Linked DNA regions of Oryza sativa Japonica Group. The protein of the gene in region 2 interacts with the protein of the main gene of each other region in a pairwise test. Links are inferred from orthologs where the notes say so. Each region holds a gene or a part of one and is shown on either strand. Other genes may lie near its edges. The genes, in order: peroxisome biogenesis protein 2, ubiquitin domain-containing protein DSK2a and 26S proteasome regulatory subunit RPN13.

Evidence for each region.
Region 1: the proteins of ubiquitin domain-containing protein DSK2a (region 2) and peroxisome biogenesis protein 2 interact in binary tests that used the Arabidopsis thaliana proteins (3 or more experiments, as listed by UniProt). The link is inferred for Oryza sativa Japonica Group from reciprocal best matches to the Arabidopsis thaliana genes DSK2 and TED3.
Region 3: the proteins of ubiquitin domain-containing protein DSK2a (region 2) and 26S proteasome regulatory subunit RPN13 interact in binary tests that used the Arabidopsis thaliana proteins (3 or more experiments, as listed by UniProt). The link is inferred for Oryza sativa Japonica Group from reciprocal best matches to the Arabidopsis thaliana genes DSK2 and RPN13.

What each region holds. Positions count from the first base shown.
Region 1 is NC_089039.1:11,356,261-11,367,193, forward strand, and holds the start of peroxisome biogenesis protein 2, read right to left. Parts: upstream 6,480-10,933; 5' UTR 6,196-6,479; coding exon 6,067-6,195; intron 5,678-6,066; coding exon 5,564-5,677; intron 5,478-5,563; coding exon 5,321-5,477; intron 3,244-5,320; coding exon 3,107-3,243; intron 3,037-3,106; coding exon 2,936-3,036; intron 2,684-2,935; coding exon 2,566-2,683; intron 693-2,565; coding exon 526-692; intron 175-525; coding exon 69-174; 3' UTR 1-68. UniProt on the Arabidopsis thaliana protein: E3 ubiquitin-protein ligase component of a retrotranslocation channel required for peroxisome organization by mediating export of the PEX5 receptor from peroxisomes to the cytosol, thereby promoting PEX5 recycling.
Region 2 is NC_089044.1:21,857,474-21,866,783, forward strand, and holds ubiquitin domain-containing protein DSK2a, read right to left. Parts: upstream 9,298-9,310; 5' UTR 9,208-9,297; coding exon 8,943-9,207; intron 7,433-8,942; coding exon 6,704-7,432; intron 6,627-6,703; coding exon 6,337-6,626; intron 6,247-6,336; coding exon 6,133-6,246; intron 6,061-6,132; coding exon 6,002-6,060; intron 5,898-6,001; coding exon 5,869-5,897; intron 5,078-5,868; coding exon 4,985-5,077; intron 4,911-4,984; coding exon 4,762-4,910; 3' UTR 4,260-4,761; downstream 1-4,259. Other genes in the region: class II metallothionein-like protein 1A, read left to right, coding at 3,333-3,391, 3,478-3,682. UniProt on the Arabidopsis thaliana protein: Binds and presumably selects ubiquitin-conjugates for destruction. Prefers multiubiquitin chains rather than single ubiquitins, with a binding affinity for 'Lys-48'-linked ubiquitin chains.
Region 3 is NC_089039.1:29,802,261-29,813,012, reverse strand, and holds 26S proteasome regulatory subunit RPN13, read left to right. Parts: upstream 1-3,510; 5' UTR 3,511-3,614; intron 3,615-4,441; 5' UTR 4,442-4,474; coding exon 4,475-4,498; intron 4,499-5,281; coding exon 5,282-5,374; intron 5,375-5,510; coding exon 5,511-5,570; intron 5,571-5,757; coding exon 5,758-5,796; intron 5,797-5,889; coding exon 5,890-5,964; intron 5,965-6,057; coding exon 6,058-6,124; intron 6,125-6,200; coding exon 6,201-6,270; intron 6,271-6,637; coding exon 6,638-6,756; intron 6,757-6,848; coding exon 6,849-6,872; intron 6,873-6,954; coding exon 6,955-7,046; intron 7,047-7,127; coding exon 7,128-7,205; intron 7,206-7,297; coding exon 7,298-7,352; intron 7,353-7,763; coding exon 7,764-7,888; 3' UTR 7,889-8,240; downstream 8,241-10,752. Other genes in the region: pathogenesis-related protein 1, read left to right, coding at 697-1,293; sm-like protein LSM8, read right to left, coding at 1,634-1,724, 1,862-1,914, 2,889-2,963, 3,057-3,097, 3,203-3,242; calcium permeable stress-gated cation channel 1, read right to left, coding at 10,418-10,672.

The DNA.
Region 1 (10,933 bases), on a different chromosome or scaffold from region 2:
AGTTGTCGCGAATCCAGTTAGCTGTATTGGCTTTTGTTACACTGTATGTATATGGATTCAACTCTAAACTAACTTGATCCTTGTCTTTGAATTGCAACAACAATCTCATTACACCTTGCACATCTATACGAGTTTGTGGCTGCACAACGTGTTTGCAGGCAGTAATAGCAATACCTGAAAAAAGAAAACGACATATAGAGGTTGGGATTGGGATACGAAACTGGCACATTAACAGATCCAGATTTTGTGACCTAACATGCGCACATGTACTGTCATGCAAAAACTACTCCAATTGATTTTTCACAGTTACAGTGTTGGATAATGTATGTCAAGGACTAAAATTTTGGTTTTAGAAAGCTTCAATTTTTTTTACTCCTACCCTTTTTTTATGAGCAAGTATATGTGTACTGAAATGATACTAAACAGTACGATGATTAGCAACTGTCATCTCTGACTATGTAACATGAAATGAGCTTCTTTGAACAAGTTATGATTGAAAGATAAGAGATGGAGAAAGAAGAGCACCTGTGTTGACATGGGAGAGCTTCGAAGGGAATGCTAGGACTGGAGCGACATATAGGGCAGTCTGCTTCATCGCCAGAAGAACTTGCTGATTTATCTTTGGAGAAAGGTAGAAGAAACTTCTTTACTGAGGATGAGTTTAAGAGGGGAAGAAGCAAAAGCAACATTTCCTGGACAATAAAGCAAATATCAACTATCAGCTAAAGTTCTGTAAAGTAAGTTACTGACATTGTCAATACTATTAATGCAAAAAAATACTGAACATCAAGTCACTAGCAATGCAATCATCAATTAGCCACAGAATTAATACTTTCCAAAAAATAGATACAAAATGTTTTGAAAGCATCATCATTCAATAAATTGACTGGTAGCACTTTGACTGAGTTACATTGATCTTTGTTTATCAGCTCTCACCAGTCACCAGTTTGCATGTAAAGAACAGTGAACAATCATGGTGATACAGACATTTAGCTTGTACAACCAGAATTGTTACAAGGCTTTGAACAATTTGATTTACTTAAACCAATCCCATTTTGCTCCATGCTGCTAACATTAAGTCCATATTCCATTCTTTTTCCATGGGGCCCTTATAATCCATATTTGCTGATTCAATCTCCTCTATTACACAATTACGTAAGATTGATGATGTGACCACTGAAGCAAAACGTGGTGGGCTTGCAATTATTCAATGGGACAAGAAACTTTTTCCTAAGCTTTCTGATGCAGGTTTTTCAACACTGTTATCACTTATTCCTCTCGGCCACTGACCTGGTTGAGGTATCCAGCCATCACTAGGTCAGCAGTCGTACTGACCACATGTTGCTAAATTCAATTTTTCAATTTAAATAAATACTCCCTCCATCCGATAAATAAGGCGCAACTATCACTACCGCAAAGATCAAGAAATAATTATTACCAACTCTTTGTTTGATCACCCCAATAAATACAATGCATACATCGCAGTATGATTTAATAGATAGAGAGAACTTTTAGCACTACTCTACCCTTTTTATAAATGATATCTCCAGATTGGTACAAACCAACTTTTAGCACTACACTACCCTTTTTATAACATGAACAAGTATTTTCAATGTGAAATATCATAGGACTGAGAAAACGTAGAACTAAATATTCAGAGTGACAGGTCTATTATATTCTGGCGTAACTATAACTAGTGAAGAATACGTATCTCAGTGGAGCAGAAATAACATGCAATCTATAGTTACAAAAAGGATGTTTTAAAAATTTTATTCCACAATTTCCACCCGCCACTACTCCCATGTAGAGAAATGGTAGATGGGGAGAAAGTAAAGTCCGAAAATATTTACTCTTGTAAATTAGTGAGTTCTTTTTCTGAAAAAAAATAAATTAGTGAGTTGGGGGTGATTATGTGTTTTAAATCCTCATGGCTGCCTATATGTGGACATGTATGTATTCCTCGCAAGATTTTCTTTTCTTTTAATGGCATTCTTTGCAGATGTGCACCTCTGTCCTTCCTAACCAGTCCCTTCTGCTCTGTTCCACACATCCTAGTTCCCATCTTCCTATATGTCTCAAGGTTTTGTTCAGTGGTAGCCTTTGTTCGCTATTCCTATTCAGGTTCACATAAGAGCCTTTTTCTTTCCATCATGAGTTGAGTTTGCTTTGTGGTCATCTAAATATTTTTTATATTTGAGGAAAGTTTTTTAAAAATTTTATTTGAATCTTAAATTTATATCCACTGTAACTTTGTAACACGTTCGCACCACGCTAGTGTATAAAAAAACCTTAATCTACATAAACATGTATCATAATATTAATAATAATATTAATAATGGTTATGATGTGCTATTAACACTTATTCCTGAAAGAAATTTATTTTCGGTAATATTACAACAGTAAAACTGCCAAGCTTACAGAAATACAAGAGGCTAGACTTAAGGTTTCATTCTGTATGTACTCAATGTGAAAAGGAGGACGGAATCATGTACAGGATGTCAAATACATCACTGCATAAGATTGAAATTTAAATTATTAAACAAGAATGTATCAAGAGAGGCATACCGAAAATTCATTCCAAACCAGTTGCCGGTTCATGTACTCAAAGCTTACTGCCCTATTCATGTTGGGGCTCTCATAAACAAGTCTTGCTTTCAGAATCCTTTCAACAATAGTTTTATATCTGCATAAATACATAAGCAAGTCTGAACTCTTGTTTTCTTAAAAAAACATGCTAACCTAGCTCACTCAAGTAAACTATACTGTCACTGTAATTCATTAATTGTGGATGCCGACACTTTTAAGTCTATTCAGATAGACCAATCAGTAATGCCAAACTGGGCACCATTTGCTGTGAGTCTACGAGTAATTACCATTTTCACTGTCTCCTCAGAATAAATAAATGAACATAAATAAACAAGTTGATGAACAGTACCTTGCACCATAAAGAAATAACAAAAGGTTAAAGAATGAAGAAGCTCTGTATAAGCCTTCAGCATGCTGCACCAAGCCCCAAGCGCGACGTGCTAGTGGTCTCTAAATTATGAAAGAAAGTTATAAGAATAAAAAAAGGAATTAAATTTTTCGAATAAGTTCTGAAGATCACCTGTTCAGAATCACCCCATCGACGGAAAGCAGAAAAAGACTGCAAGCGGGACCATATATATTGGCCACCAACAGTGCTAATACAATACAAAACCTTTTGAGAAACTGAAAGTCCAGGTCCTTCCAAACCTGTTCTGACTGAAAAACACATGGAATTCATCAACACTTGCTAGGATAATATTACAAACAATAAGTCATTAGCATATCAGTAGCATTCCATAAAGCCAAAGAATGTAACGAGTAACAAAAAATAAAAAAGTTTTGGACCTGATAATGGGCCAAGACCTATGTAACCCCACACTAACCAAATAATCAAGAAGACAACACAGCCCAATCCACAAGAGCCAATTGGCCGAGCAGTTGCAACAAAAACATGGAGGGTAGACAGGACTATTTGATTTATATATACTGCTAAATGGAAACAATTACAATAGGCTTCTTACATAGAGGACTCCCTAAGACCTGAAAATTATAGATAATTTACTCCAAAAAATAGCTTGCCTAACTAGAAGATACCAGACAACAAAATAGATAGATTTCCTAAATCCTAATAACAAACCCTGTTTAAGGATGCTGCTACTGCAGGCCCTAATGGGATGGATGCACAGGCCACAAAATGGGGAAACCTAGTCATATTAGGCACATCTCAACCAAACAAGCCAGCTTGAAAAATAGTTAAGCGTTTGGACCATTTTGAACCTTCAAGAAGTTGACACATGCATTAACCATATTTATTTTCCTTTTTCTACAACAAAAATAATTTAGCTTGCATTATGAAAATAAAAAATTCCAACCTAGCTTACATTTAGAGTAAAATGCAGCAAGGATTCTTGCTAGGTGGGTGTAGGCTTGCAACTCATCTTGCAAAATGCTCAAATGAGTCAGGCAACTTGAAAGGAGAGTGGAAATACAGTCCGATGCATGTCATGTGGGGCTAATGACAGTGAAATACAGACCAGGTTGGCCTAAGGAACAACGTGTGGACAGAATACATACATGTTTCAGATCAATGTAATGTCCTCCTATAGGATTGCCATGCCCAACTTAATAGCCTAGGAGGAGTAAACTGCAAAGCTTTAGGCTCAGGCAACTGAAAATGGTGACATATATGCATTCATGGATTCTATGCTGCCCCCAGTTGTCCCTTAAGGGACCACTCTGGCAACAAGGTCGGTGTAATAAGCCACATATCATGTGTTAGGGTGCATATTTGCGTACCCTAATCAAGTTATGTGACTCTTTTGAGCATTTTGCAAGATGAGTGACTAATCTGCACCCAGTTCACAAGTTGTTGTACCAGCAATGTATTTTACTCATATTTGAATATTTAATTGGCTCAATTTGTTTCTTATAAAACTAGTAATTAGGATGATGCATCTTGTATTTTCATTAAATATTGTACATGCAACCACCGGATCACTTGTGACAGAATTGTAGTCAGGTTGTATATTGTGCATCTCCTGAGCTAGTGGATAATAACATGAGAAAACCCACGGTGCCCTTATCAAGTAATCATAAACATGTTGGTTCAAAAATTAATTTCCTAGAAGATATATGCAATCTAGTAACCCAGAACTTGAGGATTTTTAACAACATATTTTACTCACTTATAATATTCATGTTAGGGAAATTCTTACTTGAAGGTTTTGAACCTAAAGTTTCTTGGCCACATGCTCTTTTCAGGAGATTTAAGAACATACCACATAAATAAGCCCTTTTTCCTTTGAATAAATTAGTGCAATGATACTTAAAAATGTGTAGAATAGCATGTATTTCTGGACACCATGTCTTATTTGTCAATAAACAGCTAATTGGAAAGGAGACAGTAATTAGGTATGGCACATCCATATAAATTGTGATCAGCATTCTGTAGGTGCAATCATTGGTTTGATTCTATTCCCTATAGATAGTAATAAAATCATAATTTCCTGAACTAGCTGAAGACAAACTCACACCAAAGCGATCTGAAACCAGTGCAATTTCACCATAACACGTGATTCAACCAAAGTAAATAAGGGTATTGTAATGCAAGGATGATACACGATCAAAGTGTAAATATCCTGGTCGCCTGGTACACACTTTAGAAAGATCCAAACATTTCGTATGCTTTGGGGAGCTATAACCAGCATAGCAACTAAAGATAATGCCATAAAGTACGTACCATATACATTATACAGATCTGCTAACAATTGAGACACAATAAAGTAGCAAATACCTTCTTTTCCTGTTATGGGCGCTGCCCGTTCATCTCTATATCTCAGGTTCATGAGCGCATTCCCAGGAGTTGGCTTATCAACCCATATTGAGAATCTCCATATGAGGAACTCAAGGAAAGCATCTAATTCTGGCTCATATTGGAACAGGAGTCCTGGCTGGAACATATGTCAAACTGAAGGTAATAAGCTGATGCGCAAGCAATAAGAAATACCCATATCACCATGATTAGTAAAGGAAGTACCTTCACCAAAGAGAATACTTTGACTAACTGCTCTTTCAACATGGCGGACATCTCGACATCAAGCCTCGCAGCATCAAATTGGTTAACTCTAGATATTGAAATTGGGATAGCGATCTGTATCACACAAGAAATTCAACAATGCATTACTACCCCAACAATATAGTGAACCTTTTCCTGCCAGTTGTAGCAAACAGATCAAAAATCCGCTCTTTATTTAAGACCACAACTAATTTTTTTTGAATCAATTAATTGGGAAAACAGAGACTAGTGACTCCCCACTAGGCAACCATTTTCTTTTTAAAAAATCTGGATGTAGCTAAGAAACCTCAGACCTTCAAAGAATACTACTACAATCGAATATGTGTATTCCGATATGCTTGAATGCAGCAAAGCGGGCCTTTAGAACCCTATATTTCGTAAACAAGAAAAAGTACCCGATAGCAAAGTTTGTACAGTAAAAAAAAATAATCCCAAGAACAGAGGTGAGTTAGACATATCGGTACCTTGGATGAATCACGCATTGACTCCCACTGAGGGAGGAGTCTCCGGTACTCGGCGGCCCATGCATCCGGTGGTGGCGACGACGAGTCAGTGGAGGCGGAGGGAGAGGGTAGGGTTTCGGGATCCGTCATTATAGGGGGCGGAGCTCACGGGTGGACGCGTGATGCGAGCTCGAGCATGAGAAGCGACAGCAGACGCGAGAAATCCCCGCCTCCGGGGAAGGAAGCCGATGAGCGTGGCGGGCCGATCCGCCCCACCTGGTAGTTAAGGGGGGGCACGCGACGGCCGGCGCGGAGGAGGGAGAGGTCGAGAGGGGCGGACGGCGCGTCGCCGGCGGTGGGAGAGGCGGGGGTGGATGGGACGAGCAGCGGGCAGCGGACCAGCGGTGCGTGTCGCGCGGACGATCGAGGAAAGTGCGTGCGATTGGGGATTCGGTTGATACTAGTACTTGACATGGGCCCTTATGGGCCTTACCAAGAAGATAGTAAAATAAAGGAAAAAGTACATCGAAGGTCCCTCAACTTGTCATCGAATCACAAAATCATCCTTAAACCACGAAACCGCGTAAAACGTGTCCCCCAACTTACAAAACCAGTATCGACTAGGTCCCTCGGTTGTTTTGACTCCGGTTTTATCTGACGTGGCAGCTGACTCAGCGTGGGACCCACGTAGGTCCCACATGTCAGCCCCTTCTTCCCCTCCCCTCTTCCTCTCTCTCCTCTTCTTTTCTTTCTCTCCCTTCGCTCCAGTTCGGCGGGGCTTTTAACTATTTGCCACTCTTACGGATGTTGCTTAACGATTTGCCACTAGGCCCACATGTCATAGACACATGAGGGCCCACATGTCATTGACAGGATGTGGCAAATCGTTAATTGCCATGTCACAAGAGTGGCAAATAGTTAAATTTCCCCAGTTCGGCAGGCGGGAGTCCGGCGGCCGGTGGCGGCGACAAGGCGGCGTCGGCGGCAGCGACAACAGGCGACGAGGTGGCCGCGGCGACGGGCGACGAGGCCACCCGCTCCGCCTCCACATCGCCTCCGCCTACTCGGAGCGGGAGGCGGCCGCGGCCGACGACGACCTCGCTGCGGGACGCGCTCCTCGCCTACGCCCGCGCCCTCTCCCTCGTCGAGCCGCGCTTCCCCATCCGCCTCCGCCTCCGTCGGCGCCCCCATCCCCGCCGTCGCAGCCGTCTCCTCTCCGGTCTACCGGCCCCGGCGGCGAGAGCGGATCGCCGACGATGACGCCGACGTCACGGTCGGCTTGCCGCACTGCCTCCTCCGTCCACCTCCCCAGATTCGACGACGACGACAACCGCCGCGTCCAGCTCCTCCCCCGGCACTTGCCGGCCGCGCCCATCTCCGGCGATCCGACCGACGACAATGGACCTCCGCCACGCCGCGCCCATGAATCGCAGTTCACTCCGGCGTTCCGATTCATCCTCTGCTTCCTCGTTGTTTGCTTCTGGTTTGATTGATCGACCATGCCTCCCCTCGTGGCGCCGGTGGAGCACAAGGACGAGCCCTGCAGGCAGCGGCACGCGGCGGCGGCGGCGGCGGCGATGACAGCGGCGGCGGTGGCTAAGCCGCGGCAGCGGTCGGCGTCGTTCCACGGGCGCGGCGCGGCGGAGCAACGACACTCGTTGTTGAAGCAGCGGCCGCGGACGCAGCCTGACCTGCTCGCCGAGCATGTGGCCGCTGCACGTGATGGCGCGCGCCGAGTGGCGCGTGGCCGACCTGGTCGCTGCCGCCATGGAGCTCTACGTCCGGGAGGGGCGCCGGCCGCTGCTGCCGTCCGCTGACCCCGCCGCCTTCGGACTCCACTTCTTCCTCTCTCCCAAGGCCGCAACGACCGCCGCGATCACCGCCGCTGCCGCTCGTCCCCCGCCGGTTTAGGGATGAGAGAGGAAGAGAGGGGAGGGGAAGAAGGGGCTGACATATGGGACCCACGTGGGTCCCACGCTGAGTCAGCTGCCACGTCGGACAAAACCGGAGTCAAAATCGCTGAGGGACCTAGTCTATACTGGTTTTATAAGTTGGGGGACGTGTTGTATCCGGTTTTGTGGTTTAAGGGCGATTTTATAATTCGATGACAAGTTGAGGGACCTTCGGTATACTTTTTCCTAAAATAAATATTGGAAAACGTCTATTTTGTTTTCCTCATCTCTTGCTCCTTTGACTCCTCGTAGAATAATTCTCTCAACTGTAAAATCAAGTATAACACATCCCCGTTTTTGAAAACTGGATGCAAATCGACTCTTTCGATAGTTTAGCAGTTTGTACTGACGTGGCAGGTTGACTGCGGTTGACTCGTTAAATCAAACAGGTGGAACCCACGTGTCACTCTCCTCTCTCTTTTCCTCCTTGCACTCCTATCGCCATCGTCGCCTCGGCACTCGCGCGGCAACTAAAATGGTGATGCCTATCATGTTACTATTGTTCGTGCTCATCGTCGCCTCCACGACCGACACTACCATGCCGATGTTGGTGAACGAGGAGGTGCTAGGGCTGGTCATTGTCGGAGTATGGAACTCCTCTAGTGGGGAAGCAAGTACTCCCCCTTTGGAGATTCGACCAGGGAGTGCGTGCGTGGAAACAAGGTGATGCTCACGCCAATAGAAACGAGAGAGGCATGTGTTTTCTGGACAGATTCGGGCCACTTGGAGGCATAATACCTTACTCGTGTGTTCTTGGTGGAGCTCCTTGTTGGAAAGTTTACAAGGTGTTGGTCTACTTCTCCTCTAAGGCTAGGGAGCTCATTCCTCTTTGTATGGATGCTGTGTGATGATGGAGACATTCTAGGATCGGCTCTAACCCAGAGTCATCTCTCCCATTTTCAGTGACCTTGGTCCTCCTTTTATAGTTGCAAGGGGATATCACAGTGGCCTGTTTCTTACAAATGGGCCCCGGTACGGGGTTAGGTGTCTCTGGTCATATTGCTTCTTGGTGGTAGACCTAATCATCAGGACATGTGCCAGCTGTCAGAAGAGAGTGTTGGACGATTTATAGGCTAGACGTGCGGCATATGGCAGTCAACAGTGCCGCCTAGTAGCCCACCCCTTTCCACATAAGGGTAATGAAGGCTTATCGTAAGGTTGGCATGTGTTGTCTTGTCGTGTGTTGTTCCGGTTGCAAGTTGGGTGGGTATAGTTACCTCGCATTAAATACTAAGCTTGACTGGGTTGATTTGTTACTGTGTTACCCCATGTACATGGGGGCAGGTGACAAACGTACCCCGAGCATCGCCCCCGGGGGCGAATGTGCCCCGAGCTCTGCCCACGGGGAGCCGCATCCCGGGGGTTGATATGCCCTGAGCAGCCGTACTCGGGGGCTAGTGTGCCCCAAGGATAGCCCACAGGGGTCATGCTCGAGGGGCAGGTGATAGGGACGCCCTGAATAGCTCGTGATGGCCATGTGGATGTAGTCCGACGTGACGCTGTCAAGCCGATGTTCAATCATGTTCAAGCCGATGTTGTTTGACCCAATGGGCGTGTTGGCCATGTGGATGTAGTCCGACGTGACGCCGTGCGGATGGGAGCATGTCGAGTGTGACCTGACCACGTCACGCATGTTCCGATTCGCACTTGATAGGTTCGGGCTCTCCAACCGCCACTACTGGAAAAGTGGTCTTTGCTGGGTCGACTGTTTTCCACAATAGTCCCGGTTCTTATTAGAACCGGGACTAAAGATTGTTTTTAGTCCCGGTTATAAAAATTTTGATCTTTAGTAAAGATCATTTTTTGTCCCAGTTCATGGCCTGCCAGAGGCATATCAGGGTGCCAAAGATCTTTAGTTCCAGTTGATACTACCAACCCACTTTAGTCCCGGTTGGTGTTACCAACCGGGAGTAAAGATTATTTAGATCTTTAATCCCGGTTGATAATACCAATCGGGACTAAAAATCTATCTTTAGTCCCGGTTGGATACTCCAACCAGGAGTAAATATTTCTCTCCCATATCTAATCGGTTAAGTCCCAGACAAGACTTCCTCCTCACCGAGATATTTAGATAAGATTGCATCATCCCCTCTCCTCCTACCCCTCAGATCTCCTTCCTCCTTCTCCCCTCCCCTCTCCTCCTCCCCCCTCCTCCCCTTCCTCCTCCTCCCCTCTCCTCCTCACATCCGGTGGCCAGCGTCGGCGGGCAGGCGGCCAGCGGGCGGAGGGGCAGCGCGCGGCGGCCGGGCCACACACGGGGCAGCAGGCGGCAGCGCGCCGGTTCTCTCCGGCTTTTTTTTTGATAATGTGTGATTGAGAGATGTATAATTCATTTTTTTAGAATTTGTGATTCATTGCATAGATCTAAGATGTATAATCGATCTGTGATGTATTTGATTTGTATGTAATTTTTTAAAGATTTGTGATGTGAATGATTTGGGATGTTATTTTGATTTGGGTATATGCATGGCACTTGATTTAGGGATTTGGTGTTTGATTTAGGTATATACATGGCACTCGATTTGGGAGAAAATAAAAAGAAAATGGACCAACCGGGACTACCCCTACCCTCTCTTTAGTCCCGGTTGGTGTTACCAACCGGGACTAAAGTTCCCTCTCTAAAGATCCAACTTTACTCCCGGTTATTTCACCCGGACTAAAGATAGCGGTCTTTAGTCCCGGATTCGTAGTCCCGGTTGGAAAACCGGGATTACACGGGGTTACAAACCGGGAGTAAAGACATTTTCTCCACCAGTGTGCATGCCAGGTAGGCTTGACCACCTCACCGCGCTCCAGTCGCTCTCCATCGCCTGCAACAATCTCTAATATTTGCCCCTATGCTTGCTCTTCCTGATTTCTCTAAATAATTCATTGTGGAGACTAATTCTAGTGATGTAGGTATTGGTGTTGTTCTTTCCTAAGATAAGCATCCTATA
Region 2 (9,310 bases):
ATTTCCACCGATCGATCGATCGATCGGTAACCTGACCAAGACGAAGAGACAATGGAGTCCGCATGGACGAATCTCCCCGGCGAGATCATGGAGCTCATCGCCGACAAGGCCGGCGACGCGCTCACCGGCCGCGCCCTGTCCCGCTCGGTCTGCCGGTCATGGCGCGCCGCCGTACCGGAGACGCCGCGGCTCCTGCTCCCCGCCGCGGCCGCTCGCGGCGCCGGCGACGAGTACGCGCTCGTGTTCCCGCTGTCGCGCGGGTGGTCGGTCGTCGTCGACGTCCGCGACACGTCGTGCCGCCTCTCCCACCTCGCCACCGGCGCGACGGCGCCGCTGCCGAGGCTCAACGCCGTCCGCGCCACCGCCGGGTCCCGCGTCGTGCACCTCGGGTACGAGCACTCCGCCGCGCCCGCGCCCGCGCCCGCTCCCGCTCCCGCTCCGGCCAAGACGACGGCGAGGCGCCACCGGAAAAACTTCCGGGTAAAGCGCAGGTTCCACCTGGCGCGCGGCGACGACTGGCACCGGCCGATGCGGCGGCGCTGGGAGGTTCGGATGAACCCGGCGTGGAAGCGGAGCTTCCGGCTGCCAGACACGGAGCACGCCGGCACCGGAGACGAACAGTTCTGGATCAAGATCAAGTTTCTCTGGTATTCCATGTTCCTCGAATCCGACCTCCAATTCTCACACTTGCTCCGCTTCGCCGTCCATGTCCCGGCGGCGGCGAGCACGGACGGCATGCTGATCATGATGTACCACCCGGTTCTGGGGACACGGGCATGGTCTTCTGCCGGCCCGGCGACGCCGCCTGGACGAAGCTGGACAACCCCATCGACGACGACAAGCATGTCTACAACTTGGTCGAGTTCGCCTACCTGGACGGGAAGGTGTTCGCCATGGACAGGGGCGGCACCACGGCGGTGATCGACGCCGCCACGCTCGAGGTGCTCGACCTCGTCGACGCGCCGCCGGGGACGCGCAACGTCTCGAACAAGCTGCTCGGCACCGCCAATGGCGACGACACCGTCATGTCGCTCGACTACCTCCACCTTGTCGCGCTGCCGAGCAAGCTGCTCGTCGTCAGGGTGCGCGTCAACAAGTCGTCGTCGGAGCCGGAGGGCTTCGACGTGTTCGAGCTGGGACGACAGGATCATCGCGACGGCGAGGGCAAGCTCGCCTGGCGCGAGGTGGCCGGCGACGACGTCGGTGGCAACTACGACCTGTTCCTCGACGACCACCACGCCACCTTTGGCGGCGGCGGCGGCGGCGCCGGCGGCGATTCCGGTAGCCGGATTTACTACGTGCACGACGGGAAGGAGGCGTACTGCTACAGCAAGCGGCATGGCGAGCTGGAATGCGTGTACTCGGCGCCGGAGGGTAGCGAGGAACAGTGTTCCACCATGCCTAGCTGGTTTGTTCCATAGATCCATAGATTAAAGTTAGATGATAGAGATTTACTCCAGCCTAACAAAAATTATCTCGAGATATCGGTACCTCATGGTACTGTGAGGTACCGGTACCTAAGGTACTTTTTGTTGGGCCAAATCAAATCTATAAATGATATAACCCCGCACGTTGTTGTGTGTCTGCTATGTTAGAAAGTCTAACATTATGACGATGTCAAATTGATCAATACTCTATAAGATACTTGTCAAGATTACGGATAAGGTATACCCTCTATCCATGGATATACGTTGTATACTGATATGGTATACCCGCGCGCACACGAATGTTTTCTGTACACGTTAAGGCAATCTATCACGTAATAGAAACGGAGTCCACCGATGGAAGGAGTCCTACTCGGACAGAACTGGGTCGTTACCATATCGTGTGGGGTCTGATATCTCCAAGTTCTACTGGGAGATCGACTGACCCGCGGTATAAAAGGGACCCCCGAGCAGGACCTAAGGCATCGAATATCACCGCCAACACATCCACCACATCCTATGAAGCCGGAGGCTACAGGAGCCAAGTCACCGGGTGATCTAGTCGAACCAACTCGATTACGGTCTCGTCGGTATCATCGAGTTCCATCATTCCCTTTGTAATCTGTGATTTCCATCATATAATCCCATACCAACTGGATTAGGGCTATTACCTATCAAGGGGTTTGAACCAGTATAATCCCTGTCTTTTGTTTTGCTACCCCAATACCCTTTATATCCGGTCTACGGATATCCACCGTCGATAATACTGTATTTAAACAAAATCTTCTTTATATTTATGGATATAAACCCTTAAGCAAAATATCAAAGAAAATATTTTGTATGACAGGGAGCGAGATATTAAAGAAAATATTGAATGATGTCTTGTATTAGAAAACAACGTTGCTTGATTCCTCCAAATTGTCTTTGCCCGGTTATCTTTTGCCATAATTACTTTTTGTAAAACCAACTAGATACATTGTTTTGTATGGCAACTTCAACTTTCATAAAATTAAATTCTCTTGTAGATTCTTACATTAAAATCCAAATTCGCATTATATATAAATTTTCGCCCAAAATTACTTTTTTACTAAATAAAGTAGTCATTTTCATTTGACGGGTTATATTAGCTGGTCGGTAAACTGACAAGGTTTTGGTGCTTATATTGAACTGCGGATTGTGTACAAGATCAGATTTCAGAACATGGATTGACGTGTATTTCGGTGAATTTGATCAAGCACGTCGGGCTAGAGCTAATTTTGGCCAAGTATCTTTATTTTGTTACAAAAGTTCATCTTGAATTACTTCTGATAAAAATTCTAACTCTTCTCCTGTTTCCTAAATCAAATTGAATTACTTGAACCTTTACTGTTTCAACCACGACGAGCTTAATAAATTGCGCAAAATTTATTCACGTAGATTAAGAGTCCATCACGATCAGAAGTTGCACCGAATTGTCCGGGTACGCCACAATTTCGCGAAGATAAATACCGACGGAAATGAGAGCAAGTTTAATAGTATAGCCAACTAGCTCCAATTCGATTATAGCCAATCCAATAGCTCATTCATATAATAGGTATATACTACACTATTAATATCTAGTCCCACTTATCATACACACACTGTGTCTTAGAGTCCGTGCTACAGCTGGCTACAAATCTATAGTCCGCTGCTCCTCTCTCTCTCTCTCTCCTTATTTATCAGTATGTTTACAGATGCATGCTCTGAGTAGGCCACGTACCAGAACATTCGGGCATTGCCAGGTCCACGGTACGCGTGTCACCTCACATGACTCCGGGACGTGTGCCGCCGCTTAAGCCCGCTCTTTATACGTGCCCTGCAACGGCAATACTCTACCACTGTACAGGGTAGTAGATCTTTCGTACGTTGGAGCCGGCCGGATCGACGACCATGGGGTGCGACGACAAGTGCGGGTGCGCCGTCCCGTGCCCCGGCGGCACGGGCTGCAGGTACGGCGATCTGGTCGCCCTTGGCATCTTGGCGACCGTGAAACCAACTGAACAATTCAAGTGTATGTCCACGCGTGTGGGTGCAGGTGCGCGTCTTCGGCGAGGAGCGGCGGCGGCGACCACACGACGTGCTCGTGCGGCGACCACTGCGGGTGCAACCCGTGCAGGTGCGGCCGCGAGTCGCAGCCGACGGGGAGGGAGAACCGGAGGGCCGGCTGCTCCTGCGGCGACTCCTGCACCTGCGCCTCCTGCGGCTCCACCACCACCACCGCTCCCGCGGCCACCACCTGATCCATCCATCCATGCGCCCAAAAATGCCCAACGAGACGTGTTTATACGTGTGGTTAAGCGTGTGTACGTGCGCCATGCTTAGTACTCATAGCTGCTTAGCTAAACAGCACAGCTGATAAATAAAAAGGGCTTGCTGCTTGAGTCGAGTCGTATCCCGTTGTCTAGTTCTGGCTAGACTCGCGCATCACGCATGCAACGGACATGGTGATACGCGAGGGATGGAGAGTTCGGAGTTGGGAGACACTGTGTACTGCAGTACCAGGTTGATAAGTGTGTCTGTACTTGTGTAAATATGTTTTACATGAATAAAAAGGTTGGTAACTTTGTCATGTTTATCAATGCGAGGGGCAATGCTTTTCTTCTTCGGGAAACAAAAATGCGAAACTCAGTATGGAAACATACAGCACAGCTGACATTGTTACCTGGACAAACATCTCTTTAGATGAAATGAACTGAACTGCAATTCTGCAAATATCATACACAAACGTTCAGAGTAATTCATGAACATTTCCACGTCAAATCTGACTGCTCCATTATCGAGCACAGCCTCTGAACTTTAACCAGAAAAGAAAAAAAATGGTGCAGTAACCTATCATGTATTTGCCAATAGAATCCCGAGAGCAGTGCAAATGTCAAATGGATAGAGCAACCAACAGAGAAGACACAGCACTAGCATGGCAGCTGCCTTGTCTAGAACAAGGCCAGCTACCTTAATTACCTTATGCCTAGAAGAACAAGGCTGCGTTATGATTTATGAAGATACCCCAAAACACAAGAAGGCATCAACATACATCTTGAGGATTGGGAGCCGACAATTGCAAAGGTAGACCCATATTCTATGCGGTAAGATCCGATAATTTCATATGTATGTACATCAACCCAAATAGTCAAATACAACACGGTAAAAACAAAGGCATGACGACCATGTATGGAAAAGTTAATGGTGGGGGTGGGATTTCTTTGTTTTATTTTCTCCTGAGACTGTAGACAGACGCTGCGTTTGAACTTGGAGGGGCTAAAAAACCTCTTGCAAAAGAGCGGAGTTGGTGACGTTATGGGCAGCGTCTGGTACGCTTTAGCTACTGGCCAAGATTGCCAAGAAGACGCTCCACCGCAGCATTCACATTCCCAGCAGTTGCGACTAGCGCCTGGATGTTCTCTGCAGTGTCGATGAAACCCATCTCTCGGAGCTGAGTGAGCTGTGTTGCATACAGTTCTTCCGGTGGAACTGAATCACAAGTGTAAAACCATAATTAGTGATGATACAAAAACATGGAAGATGATAAGAGTTACTATACAAACCATTGGATGTATTGGGTACACCTATGCCACCTCCAGCACCAAGCCCACTAAGCATGCCCATCAAGGTGTCGAGGCTAACATTTCCCCGCATGCCTGCATTTTATTTCATTGGCATTTGCCACATTACTTAACAAAAAGGTGAAAAAAAATGCATTTGTAAGAATTTAATTATCAAATGCTCAGTACTCGAATTACCACTACACATCTAACATTGCTCCACAATTTAGAAGGCAGTACAGTTGACTACACAAACAACTCGTATAATCTCTTCCATACCAATATAGCACAGTCAAGCAGCTAAAGAGCTCAGACACGTTCAACACATAACAGATTACTTAAATGGAACTATGGTTGTGACTAAAGGTGTAGGGAGCTCTCATCCATTCTCCAATAATCAAATCCACAAGCAGCATTCAGTCATAGGCAACCCATTTCCATTTCTAAGTAAGGAAAAAAAATCATACATGTGTCACGCATCACCCCAAAGACCTTGTTTTGCGATCCCCAAAACGAGGCCTGGTCGCACGGTCGCACCATATCGATCATTGATATTTCTTTTTTTCCAATATTTCAAGGAAACTCAAATTTAGAAATTCCAATGTTATGCACCACAATAAGGTAGTGTCAAGAATCAACCACTAGTAATAATCATCATAATGTGTTTATATAATGTAATGGCCTTATGGAAGAACGGAAATCTTGAAGAACTAATACAGGTCAACCAAGCAGTGAAAGAAAGGCAACTATTGGTGCTAGAACGAACCACCACTAAAAGATAACTCAGTACGCACTAAAACTTATGTAAAACCTGACATACTAATCCATCTTAAAACAAGAAAAGATATTAGATGGTGCATATTAAAAAAACAATCAAGAGAAAATACCTGTCGCATTGCCTCCTTGGCTACCATCCCTGAATCAAGAAAATCAAAAGATAATTAACAAACACATAATGAAAGAAATACAGTATAAATGAGCTAGATGCAATTCAGGTACTGTTGAACAAGAGTTACTCACTGCCTAGGTTGATTTTGACCAAGCTGTGATAATAATGTCTGCTGGAACGAGAGTAATTGCTGCCAAAAAAGGGAAAGTTAATCTAGATAGAGATGGAGCTAGCCACATACATAAAACGTAACATATGTTACCTGCATAGTTTCTGGGGATGTAAGCTGGCGAATAAATTCTGGATTTTGGAACATTTCCCTCAACTGAGTGTTTGATTCCATGAGGTTGCGTGTATTTGGGTTGAAGTTAAGCAACTGTGGACATTTTAAATTACAGAATGATCTGAAGTTATGACTCTAACATCATCAAAGTTATATAACAAAATAAGTTAAGAAATACCGTACCTGGTTCATGGACTGTGGATCAGACATGATATTCTGCATCATCTGCATCATAACAGGGTTTTGCAAAATCTGGCTCAAGGAAGAAGAATCAGGAGAACCACCAAGCAAACTTCCCAAATCTGCTGAACCCAACCCTCCTAGACCACCAGTAGCACCAGTTCCTGTATTACCGGCAAGACCACCAAATAAACTGCTCAGATCAGCTGACCCCAACCCTCCAAGGCCCCCAGTGGCACCGGTTCTTGCATTGCCAGTAGAACCTGCCCGTGTTGCTCCTTGCGCACCTCCAGCTGTCAATTTAAGTGTGAAAAAACAATAGATATATAGATTATCAAAAACAGAATAAACAAGAGGATTGAGAACATACCATTGGAGCTCCAAGGATTTGGAAGTGGATTAGTGTTTGGAGCAGGGGTTCCTGTTGTAGACTCTGAGCCAGTATTTGGAGCATTTGTAGCAGGATCCCTTGGTTGGTTAGAACCCTGATTTCCAAGAAGAGCTGAGAATGGGTTTGGAGCTGTGTTGCCTTCTCCACCCATTGTTGTCGCATTTAGGAAAGGCTCCTGGACAGTTTCATACATGCGTCGGAGCATATTAAACCCTTCAGGAGAAGACTCAATGTTGCTCATTGCTCTGTCTGTGTTCCGCATCATCTCCCTCATGATTTCAGGGTTTCTGGCTGCTTCAAGGGTCTGGCGGAGAACACTTGGATCATTGAGAACATGAGCAAGATCTGGATTCCGGTCGATGATATCACGCATTTGAGGATTGTTCATGATCATGTTACGAATTAAATCAGGGTTATTCATGAGATTCTGCATCATTGGCATATTCATTATTTCCCTCATTAAGTTGGGGTTTTGGCTTAACTGCTGCTGCATTTGATCCAATTCTGGAAATCCAGACCCAAAAAGACCAGATGGCCTGGTACCAGCAGTTCCTGTACCACCAAGGCCAGGAAACAAACTTCCAAGACCATCTGTTGGGCCGCTGCTAGGAGCAGCTGAAGCTTGGGGGCTGGCTGCAGCAGGTGCAGCTGATCCGGCTGGGGGACCAGCGCCACGCACCATATGAATGGTATGATCTGTTTCAACACCTACAAAATATAAGGAGTGTGAGAAGCAAGAAAAGAATTATGCTTGATAAGTCAGAAATTTGAACAGCGGGCCAGCATATCTACATAAACAAAGAATATTCCAATATCTGATGTAATCATATACAAGAGAATTACAAATGAAAACTTCTAAAGAATTCACATGTGAGAGACTAAAGAAGATAGTGCATCGGATGACTATGCCATAAATCCTCATTTATGGCATGTTAACATACTTAGCGTGCCCAATATTTCGTATTACATGAGAATTACTTGGTACTCTCTCATAAAAGGTAACAATTTTCCCAGAAGATGTTTTTCTTTTTTGTTAAGGCATCATTGATTCAACGCATTTATTTAGCAGCATTCCACCATGTAAGGATGTTCAGAACATGTCTTTTGAAAGTTGTTCCCTTCTTTTCCTCAAATACACATGCACGATTGGCCAATTAACTAACTAACGTTTTCCTCATATGGAAGTTTTTGCATAGCAAGAAGCTACAATCATAATCAATGTAATAATTAGTTAGCATCATTACCCGCTGAAAATAAATATGAAACCATGAGCTGACATAAATACGAGTTCCAAACATATATACACTTCCTGCGAATCAGCAAACGTACTAATTTATTGTAACAGTAGCACTAGAGAAACAGATTCACGTTTTCCTTTTTTTTCAAAAGACAGCCCACTGCTTAGTTCCATTAAACAGAACAATTGTTTGGTTTACTGTTCTCGGTCACTACTTTGTAATCAACGGAAAGAAAAGGATGATTTTACATTTGGTGAACCCATTTCCATAGCAGGGTTGTGCACTTAACCAAATAGTGTTTAAGAAAAATTGTTCAGTTGCATTGCAAACAACAAATTGAAGTATTTACTTGTATTTGCACTTCATAAACTACATTCAATAATAAAGTGCACTCTACCCAAAGTTCACAGATAAAAATAAAGCCCATATGATGCTTCATGAGAAAATAAATTAACTTTCACTACAACTCCAAGAAGATTCTAAGATGTCACACATTGCGACATAATAACAACGTATGCGTAACTAATACGAGCAGTAGCTTACATGGCCCCATAAGTCCATAACATTTGGAACTATATTCGAGTCGCGACAAGATGAGCTGCCTTCAGCTTCTTCATCATCTTATACGCTACGTAAGAGTAACCGTTCCGTTCGCAGTATACATTATCATTAATACACTACACACTCTATACTCGCATCACCCAATCACCAATAACTGTGTAGAGAAGCAAAGCATATCGACGAATCTGTTTCGCTAGCATGCATAGGGCACCGAAGCGGATTGCTGCACCTTGTCCCCCATGAACAGGAGCCCCAGGTATAAACAGGCATTGCATCGACAAAGCTAAATCGCGGCTTCTTACAACTACACGACTGAAATCGAGCACGTAGCATGTCAATTCCAACCCATCGGACCAAAAATCCTGACGATTTGATGGGTTTTTTTTCTCCTCCTCTACCTAACAGTCCTAGACACTCACCATAGCTTTCTAGGGTTTGCTCGTCCTTGAGGATCCGGCCCTTGTAGATCAGGCGCTGCTGCGCCGCCGGCACGTCGCAGCTCCCCGCCACCACCTCCTTGAACGCCCCCACCGTGGCGTCGAGGTCGGCCCGCACGGTGAACTTGGACCCGTTCGCGCACCGGATGTGCAGCGCCGCGGCCCCCGCCACCGCCGCCGCCGCAGCCGCAGCAGGAGAGGACTCCCCTCCGTCGCCGCCCCCGGCCTCGCCTCCTCCGCCGCCCATGCCGTCGACCTCGGCCCGATCCGCTCGGAGTCGGCGGCCTCGCCTCCGATTCGGGGTCGCGTCGCGTCGCGTGCGTGTGCGCGTGAGCTCGAGTTTTTTTTTT
Region 3 (10,752 bases), on a different chromosome or scaffold from region 2:
ACAAGTATATACTACGTATATAATCTGTCATATATATGCAGTCGTAGCTAGCATATATTAACGGTTTTTCTTACAAAAAAGATAGCATATATTAATCTGTCATACTCATAACCATGTCAAGTGGCGAAGAAATTAAAACAGATATTAAGTAATTGAAAGCAAAGCGGCCGCAATTAACGCAACAGAACAGAAGAGGGCCCCGCGACCGCGAACGATCGAGAGTAGAATGTCCAGGTGTGTGGAGCCTAGCCTAGCACAAGGCGTACACACGAACAGGCCGGAGAGGATGGATGGAATCCAAGCCAAACAAAAAAAAAAAACATTCCTTCCGTCCGTTGGCCGTTGCAAACAGGTGCTCCGTAGTTGTAGAAGCAGACGAGACACGGCAGGCAGGCAGCAAGCTGGTAGAGCCAGAGCCCAGCCAGCTGCCCTGCCAGTGCCCGGGGAGGTTAGGCTTTGTTGTTTGGACAGAGTGGCCGTGCGATATGATGATATGATCGATGCAGAGAAGAAAAGAAAAACTGCCTAAACTTGGCATTGGCATTATTAGTTCGTTGTTTATGGTTGGAAGAGCGAGAGGCAAATCCAAGAAAAGCAAATGGCAAAAGATGAGCTAGGATATAAGAAGCCCATTAGCACTATTGGATTGGATCGGATCGGCGGGCGGCCTCGTCCTCGTCGGGACGACGGCAGACAATGGCCGCCGCCGCGATGATCCTCCCATTACTATTGCTATTGTGTTGGTTTCTGCTGCTGTCTGTGGGCGACGCGATGTGTTGGTTCAACGACGACGCATCAGCATCGGCACCAGCGGGGTGGTTGGTGTCGTGGACCAATGGGATGGGTTGGTACAAGGGGATGCCGCGGGAGTTCGTGGACGGCCACAACCAGCTGCGCGCGCGCTACGGGCTGCAGCCGATGAGGTGGGATAACAAGCTGGCGAGGCAGGCGCGGCGGTGGTCCGACGCCATGCGCGGCGACTGCCAGATCCGCCACTCCACCGGCAACAGCTTCGCCGAGAGCCTCTACATCGGGAGGAACGGCTGGAACGCCAGGGCTTCCGACGCCGTCCGATGCTGGGGCGACGAGGAGCACCTCTACGACAGGGACACCGGCAAATGCACCGCCGGCGTCGACTTCCACGAGTGCGGCCACTTCGCCTTCATGGTCAGGCCCAACTTCACCAGGATCGGCTGCGCCCGCGCCGAGTGCTTCAACGGCGGCGTCTTCATCACCTGCAACTACTTCAAAGACGAGCAGCACCAGCCGGCTACCCCTCCCACCTACTCCTAATATGCTCTTCTTCTCTTCAACAACTGACCTGCCTGCCTTCCTCATTCATGTACATTGATACAGCTGCACAAACAATACAATACAATGGAAACCAAATCTTCACTCACTGAGTCACTGTGTCTGTGTTCGTGTTCAACAAACATGCATCACCCATCCACCACCACATAAAACCATAACATTCTTCTTCATGCTCGCTCATCCGCTTGCTGGACTTCCTCGCGTACGTTAAAGAAGTTCACTCATCGGCAACACTAGCACCCACTTCTTCACAACTTCTGGGACAACACTACATTTAGGTTTAGCTTACTACTAGTAGTAGTACATCATTCATTCGTTTCCATTAGTGGATCACGGGCTTCAGCGGGTGCGCTCTCAGATTCGATAGATCCAGCCTCGCATCCAGTTCTTCATCCACCTCCCCCACCACGCTGCTGTAAATATGCATCACCCACGGATTCAACTTCAGTTAGGCACACCACCAAACAAAATAACACATCCATAAACGACCTCCATGCAGGTAATTAATAAGCAATAAACAGCTCAAACGACAATTGAGGAAATAGCTTACATGTTGTCGCCCCTTATGATGTACAACCCAAGAACAAGCTGTTGCACTCCCTCCTGCAGGTACAACACATTTCTCTCATCACTACTCAAAATTTCAACTGTACTACTAACAGCACATGCCACAAACTAAAAGCATGACAATTTAAAGGCATTGGCCCCTAGTCCTTAAGAAGGCATATCCCATATTCAATAGAGAGGTGCATGATACGAGACATATAACTATTCATAGTCAACATTGCCTGCAAATTGTTAGAACAACAACTCTGCACCATAAAGAACAAAGACATTCCAATACCTAACTATTGAAGACAAAAAATAATATGACTTCTGAAAAATTGAACGTGCACAAGGTAGAATTAATCGAACCAATCCTTGAAGAAAAAGGTGCTGTTATGACAAATTCAGCTAAAACATGTTACAGTATAAACTCATTATTTTGCAGGAAACGAACTTCAGTTCATACTGACAGTAGACATGATGATAGATACGAACAGTCAACAATATGAACTCATTACTTCATGATGACATTTATAACCATCATGAAAGAGAGCCATCTTTGAAAACAATCTGTGTTTAGCCATAAAGGGTACTGTGTAATACATGTTGGCAACTAACTTTCAAGCACCATGAGAGAAACTTATTGCTGATTGCAGAATTCTGCACTAGTGAACCAATGAGAGCATTTGACAGCAAACCAGGGAGAAGGTCACAATTAACAAGGACATACTGGAATAACAAAAAAAAATTGTGTGGCTGAACTTGTAGCCTTAGCAAACAGGCAACTCTATGGAAAATGCCAAACAGACTGTGGTAGAGATTCTAAACGCAGAAAAATTTAGCAGAGTAACTAACTGTAAGTATGACCGCCTTGTAAACATAACTTTATGAAGATGGAAGTAAAGTGTGTGTTGCCGGATTATCAGGGCATATAGTACTAGCTTAGTGAAATATTGATATTGCTGTAAAATTAATTGAAGGTTTGCAAGATAGCATGAAAGAAGCGTAGAAAGAGTTGGGAGCAACCCTACCCTGGTAGAATAGACCCTCTCATGGGACTCATCGAGGATGATGTTGGTGGCTTGATCGAATCCTCTGAGTGTCCCCTGACGAAGCGGAGGCAGGGCAATTCGAGTGAGTATTAGCGAGAGCCAAAAAAAACAAAAAAGGTGTACGAGTAGATCAAACAAGGGGCTCACCACAATGTTGCGGCCATCGTTTGTGATGACGGATATGATCTCTGGAGAGAAAAAAAAAACATCATCTATCACTAGTAATAGTAGGAGGAGGAGAATCTTGGGTAGCTGGGTGAGATGAGATAAAAAAAAAAGAGGGATGAACTCACGGTCGACGAGCGATTCGAGCCCCGGGCCGGCGGACGCCATCCTGTAGTTCAGGTGGAGTGGGGTGATTGGGGAAGCCGCCGCCGCCGCCAAGGGGATCGCCGGAGTTGAGGGGATGCGGCGACGATTTGTGTTTTGGAGAGAAGAAAGAGATTGAAAACCCTAGCTCAACTTCGTCTTTGGAGTTGCCGAGCGGGCTTTTATATGGGCCATCAAATGCGTGGGCGGGCCTCTCCAGCCCAGCTAAGAGAAGCCCAGCCCACCATGAGAGATCCTTCTCTGCTCCCCCTCCCGTCGTCATCGCCTCCCCAAATCACATCACATCGCGTCGGAGAATCCCTCTCCTCCCGTCCCGCCGCCGCCGCCGACGACGACGACGACGTCCAGCCCTCCTCCGTAATCCCCCACTTGTTGGTGAGTGACTGAGTGGTGACCAACTCTTGCTCCATTGTTTCTAAGATATTTTCTTCTCCCTTGCCCTACCTGTTCCTCTCTCCAATCCAAATCTCTCTTTCTAGGACGGCTGCTCCAATCGATTTTATTGCTCATGTTTTTCTTGGGTCCTTACCAGCAAAATCTTATAGATCACCCACCTATTTTGCTCTCCTTGCTTACATCTACATGTAAGAAAAAAAAATAAACAAACATAAAACACTGCACCATCCTGTAAGGAACTAGCCCCTGCAAACAAGCTAATCATTGACGAGTTTTATGTTAATGCGACTTGCTAGCTGCTAGGGTTTTTGGCTAGTCTTCGCCGTTTTTTGGGTCACGTTGGTTCTCCACTATGAAATAACACTACAGCAGCACAAAAGTAATGCAGTAATAATATCTTATAAAGCCCAAAGAAACCACCTTACAAATTACAAATCTACAAGCACGCAGACGCAGGAATTTCTTTATGTAAATACTAATTTGTCAGTTGCCTACGTGCTACTTGAAGATGCAAATACTGCACAACAAAGACTCTAGTGTACATAAATTTATAGATCTAGTCTTCTTTAATCCTTCACAAGTGCATTTTTCTGTATTTTACCAACACATGCGCATAATGTTTTCATTCTCATATGCACAAAGTTCTAAAGGCAGCTACTACTTTCAGACTACAGTACCTTTTGTTCATCTCAATTGGCATGCAGTACACTTCTGACAACTAGTTACTGATAACCTATTATACTTCACACTTGCTTGATTTTGTTCTATGTCCAATACTTTACTGTCCTTTTTACTGCCTGTTTTAGGGCCTGCACCTTGTGGTAGCCACTCTTTAATCAATGGAGAGCACAGAGCCCCTACAGGTAAACTCCTCACTTTGCCTTCTAGTGTTTCTGCAAGTATTGGTTTTTTCAAATACCGAATTTCCTGTTAGTGTTTAACTGCGATGATCGGTTGCTGTTGATTTGAGATCATGATTTAGCTGCTGCAAGTTCCATCTAAAATGACATTATGGGCTGTTTGGTTGGTATCAACACTTTGCCAAAAGGATAATTGAGGTTGTCTTTTGTGGTGGACAAATTCTCAACTATTCGCAAATCTTGCCAAGTAATTGAGTGTATGACAAGTGAGCCAGCTGGTTAAAGAAAGCCTGACAGAAAATGGCATTGGTAGTACCATGTTAATGGGCTGTTTTGTGTGTAATATGTACAAAGGCCTGAACCATGTTTGGACCAGTTTTTCATCGTACATGATACAAAAAAAGAAAAAAAAACATAGATGTCTCTTTTGTATACTAGGCAGTTTGTTTCTTTATGTTTTAGTTCTTTTCAGAAAACTGGGATAGAACTTCTGTTAATCTTTGCCTGCACTCTAAAAGGCCAAAATATTTAGCTAGCAATTTGTAGCAAGAAAATCTTCTGATAAGAAATGTAGGTTGTGTATAGTGAGCTTTCAGTAGTTCAGTGAACTGAGTTAATTTTCTGTTGCAGTGCATGGTGCTTATTGATCTATCTCAAATTAAGATCTTGTGCTTATTCAGAATCTTAATGACCTATATATTTATTTTTGCCATCTCATTTATCTCTGCTATGATATAACAAGGTGTTGAGCTTCTATTTAAAAACAATCTCTCATGTGTTTGTCAGGATATCATGTGCGAGTTTCGTGCGGGTAAGATGTCCCTTGATGGAACACGAGTGATCCCAGACACACGCAAGGGTCTTGTTCGCATAGGAAGGGTATGCATGCTAAAAGTCATACTTATCTTGAATTGAAGTTCTGTACTTCTATTTGTCCAGTATAACTTATAAGCCATTTGCATTCTCATATTTTATGGGGATTTGCAGTGCAGTTAACATATCCACTTGTTTGTAGGGTGAAGAAGGCTTGGTTCATTTTCAATGGCTTGATCGTGGACAGAATCTAGTTGAAGTTGTATCCTCTCGAGCATAGATAGTAGTTAGTAGTCATCGTGCACTCATTTTTTAATCTGCAAATACTGTACTTGTATGACTCGTATGTTTGAACTTTGAACTTGGCTGTGTCTGTTTCTCCTGATTTCCATTGTGTATATCCTAGGAAATTATCGTACTTTTGTATATCCTTGATTCCCTTTTCACAGGATCAAATTGTCTTCCCTGAGGAGGCTGTCTTTGAGAAGGTATTGAATATAGGTTCAAGTTTATTTTCTTCTGCAAGACCATCTTAGTGAACCTCTTGGGCTTCATTGATGATTGTAATTCAACTTAATCAGGTAACACAATCTTCTGGAAGGGTTTACATCTTGAAGTTCAGGCACGATAGCAGGAAATTCTTCTTCTGGATGCAGGTCAGTTGAGTGTGTGTGTGTGTATCTGTTTGAAAACCACAGAAGTCCTTCCACCAGCTAAAATTTACTTGTGTTTTGCTCTTTACTGTGCAGGAGCCAAGTGCTGATGACGACTCACAAATATGTCGCCAAGTTAATGCCTACATAAACCGACCATTAGGTATGCTGAACGTTGGGATCTCAACTCTTAATTATGCGCTCATTTTTCTTGTGTCTTAAGTTGTATGGGCGTGCAGATGGTGAGGCAGTTTCTATTGAAGCTGAAATGTCACATGAAGACACAGCTGATGATGACATCTCCTCCAGGTAATTTTAACGAACTGCAAGATGCAATGTGCAGCACAGAAAAACCTAGACGTTTGCATTGCAATCTTTATTTTTCAATGGGGCCGTCAGAGTAACAGATGGATGCACGTTCATTATAAACCACAAGTATATTCACTCCAATTTCATGCATAAGTTAACACTATCTATGTCTAGCTGAGTTTATTGTGCACTGCCTTTCATTCTTCCTATTTTCACACTGATATTTTTCCTGCTAAATATATATGAAAGTGTGGCCTCAATTTGTTCCTGATATGGCATTCATGCATGCGTGTTGAGTTTTGGGTATAATGAATTAATGACCATTTAATAATTCTAACCCCTTTGTTTCCTTCTTTCTTCTCATCAGAGCTGGGAATTTAGTTGATCAGAGCATGACTGCTGATTTAGCTGGTGAGGTGACATCTGCTGCTGGGCCAGTACGGTTGGAAGACCTGCAGAGAATACTGAGTGCTATACAGCCATCAGGTATCAGCTGAAAAATCATGTCACTTTTGAAATGTTCTTCCATTTGACCACCTTCTCATTTTATTTTACTTGCATTCGCCTTGTAATTTCAGATGCTGTGGCAGACCCTGATGCTGGTAATTACAGTACAATACTCTATTGATTCACTTTTCTTCAATGATTTGCTGTATGTATCAGTACTTTTAACCGCTGTAACAGGATTAGGATTAGGAGACATCTTGAAGCCTGATTTGGTGTTACCACTCATGGAAACTTTGCCCATTGAACAGTTGGCATCATATCTTCCAGAGGTTTGTAACTTTGTATTTGTCATCCTGGTTCTTACTTCAATTGACTCTTCCACTCATTTTATTGTGCTTGCTTAATTCCAGGGCCCATGGACTGCTGGTGATATTCTTGAACTATTGCAAAGTCCTCCTTTGCGGCAGCAAGTAGAAGCGTTTACCCATGTTAGTAATTCATCTTTCTATTGAACATCTTGGTGAATCGTGACACAATGCTTCAAATGTTATTTTTATTCTGATATTTGCATGTATGGCAGGTGCTGCGGACTGGGCAAATAGATCTAGCACAATTTGGAGTTGACCCTAGTAAATGTAATCCTTCTCATCTTCACTTATATTGACAACCAAATTTCTCGTTTATTTGCACTGAACAGTAAAGTTAAATGCAGCATGTAGCAGGCTCCTTTTTTTTTTCATTCGCAAATACACGGTAGATAATTTGTGCATGTGGCTGAAACTTTTATTTATGTATTGAAAAAACACAAATTCTGCAACTGATACCTCAATGACCATGATATTTACCTTGCTAGTCTAGCTTTTACTTTCAATGGCTTATGGAGGTGACCCCTGCCCAAAATATGAGCGTTGTTTTTCTGCTAGACGACAAACATCCTTGATGCTAGTTGGTCAAGTCTGAAAATGATTTATTTAGTATTTGTAAAATCTGGAGATGGAGTGAGATGTTTTCGGAAAACTTATTTGATGGGTGTCTTTGTGGCACAGATAAATTCACAGTAGCTTCGTTCCTGGAGGCTCTTGAAGACTCCGTGGCAAAAGCTTCAGGAGCTGGAGACAAGGATTCAGAGTCCCAGAGAGGCGGTGGAAATGATCCCATGGATGAGAGTTAATGTCAAAATGGTTTGGTTTGAAAACTTGATGAAACACAAAGCGGGACTGGACTTATGTTGGCACGCACAGGCCTATTTCTAGTCATTTGATCTGATTATAGATGCTTGATAGGTGGCATAGACATTTTGAAGCTGGCTTTATTCTGCACTGCCTGTGCTGTTATGTGTATACAGGGAGGATACGGTGGTCTAGCCTATTTTGCACTGGTGTATGCTCAGTAGAGTATTAAAGGTACTGGACCATTGTTAAGTGTACTTGGGCGTCGTCGTCATATAATGGATGGATGGATCGGCTGATCGATCAGCTGGGTTGGGCGTACGTCTGCGCACTGCTCCTCCCAGTTCAAGTACAGATGATCGATCTCATTCTTCTCTGCTCTGCATGTATGATGGTAGAATCCTGAGCAAGATGCTCGCGGAAGTTGGCGATTCCCAAACAGCTTTGCCTCTTGCTGCTTCTTTTTCGTCGTCCAAAGCATCGTTGGTAGCATCTGTACTGATGAAGAAGATGCTCGCCCTCGTCATCGTTGACGGGAAAAGCTTCGATCCTGTCGTTGTCGTTGTTGGACGCCGTTGTTCATGTGTTTCGGCCCACATTAGTACTCATAAGATTTGGGGCAAAAGTATTTACTAATATTCATGCATTTTCGTGCCAAGGTAAGTATTTATGAAATTTAGGACCGAAAGCTAAAATTCCTTCATTCCTTTTTTATCCAAGGATAATACTCATGCAATGTTAAGCCTAAGGACAATACTCATGTGCTTTGGGGCAAAGGCTAAAATTCATTCAATTTTGGTCAGAAGTTAGTACTCCTGAAATCTTGAATCAAAATCTAATATTCATGTGTTTCGGGCCAAAAGAGAGAATTTATGCACTGTTGGTGCCAAGATTTAAAAAACGAGATTTAGAGAGACGTTTCTCCAATTACCTTTTAAGAAAATAATATGAGCATGTTACCTGTTGAGGTTGAAACCACATACCCTTGCCAGTCAAGTGTATCTTGGTGCCAAGGTTAATAATGGAGAATTTTTTTGGATTACACGGAAGATACATGCACTACTACACATGCACACACACTCACAAATTTGCCCCTAATAGATTCTCAAAGAGACGAAGACCATGGCAAATCACTAGCTTCATGAAACCCCATAAAAATTGCATCCGTGTGTGTGCATAATGTTCATAGCCACTAGAATTTGAATTCCATTGCATTTTCGGAAGAAGGCTAGTATTCATGTGTTTTCAAACCCCCCAAGTTTAATACTCAAAAAAAAAATTAGGCCGGAGGCTAAAATTCACACAATTTTTTGGGCCCAGGGTTAATTATCATGAAAATTTTGGGTAGGAGGCTAATATTCATGTGTTTTTTCCTCAATGTTACCACTCATGAAATTTTTGGCTAAAAGCTAAACGCCGTTCATTTTCTAGCCGAAATGCAAATATTCAAGCGTTTTGGGCTCAAGTTATTCATGAAAATTTGAAGCAAAGGCTATTGTTTTATGAATTTTTTGGCTCGAGGTTGACACTACTGAAATTACGAGCTGAAAAATACAATCAGATACTTTTGGGGGGCTCATGTTTAATAAGCATGAAAATTTGATACCAAGATCAATATACATGTGATTTTGGGCCGAAAACAATACTTGTGTGATTGGACTGAAAACTATAAGACTCAGCATTTATTGGACCTAAAACTTTGGAAGGAGTATAATGCCAATGACCCAAAGTTAATGCTAATGAAAATTGGGAATCTATGTTGTTTTGGGGCCAAGGACATAATTTATGTATTTTTGGAGTATATATATTTGCGGCTACTGAGGAAGATATGGAGATTGATGGTTACTTGCACGACAGTAGTGTGGTGATGACTCGGAGATGGTGACATGCATCACCATCGCTTTTGTACCGCCATTGCAAGCAGCAGCAGGATGAAATGCAGTGCAGGTAGCAGTCCTACATATGAAGGGTTTTGGTTGTGCTTTTCTGGAGAGGAGAGGAGAGGAGAGCTCTCGAAATGACACCAGATATGAGCGCACACGCACTTCGGAATTTAGAATTTAGAAGATAGCAGAGGAGATATGAAGATATAATAATGAGAGATGCATGATGTTCCCAACAAAGCAGGCAGTCAGTGGGGAATGAATATTCTTGGCTTGCAAAGCAAAGCCGTTCATGCATCTCCCGTCCCTTCCCCGGCTTGACTCCTTTTACTGTTAACAACCTTGCGCGGTTGCACACTTGCACTGACAAAAACTTGCTACTAGCTAGCTGGTTTATATTATTACAGTGGTAGTACTAATTTACTACTACAGCTAGTTGCAGTTGGAAACCAACAAAGAAATCATAATATTGGCAATCCAATCATCAGTCTGTGGGTGTTGAACAATCCCTCCATATACCTCTCGTGCTGTAAAGTGTACAGCAAAGCTATCTGCCAACATCCCCGTAGGAGTAGGTATGTATCAATCTATCTGTACAGACTATAAAGAATTCAACAAGCTAGTAGTCACCCTGATATTCCCGTAGCTCTATCGTTCGTGTACAGTTTCAGGAAGAGAGAGCGTGTCGGAGCCTTCGTACTTGCTCTGGGCGGGAGTGTTCCGGCGAGATTGACGCTTGGTCGGCACGATCACCTCCTCCATCCCGACATCCTCGGATATTGACATATTGTCCTCCTCCTCCCTGCCTTTGAACACCGGGTGCAGGTACGCATTGGCCAGGTACGCTTTCAGATCGAAGGTTGGCTCCCTTGCCCGTTCCAGGGTGTCTTTCCTCATCGCTTCCTGCACATCCAACAAATTTCACTCTTACCACCAAACCAAAACAAACATTTCAGTATACAAAACTTCCTGTCACACATTAC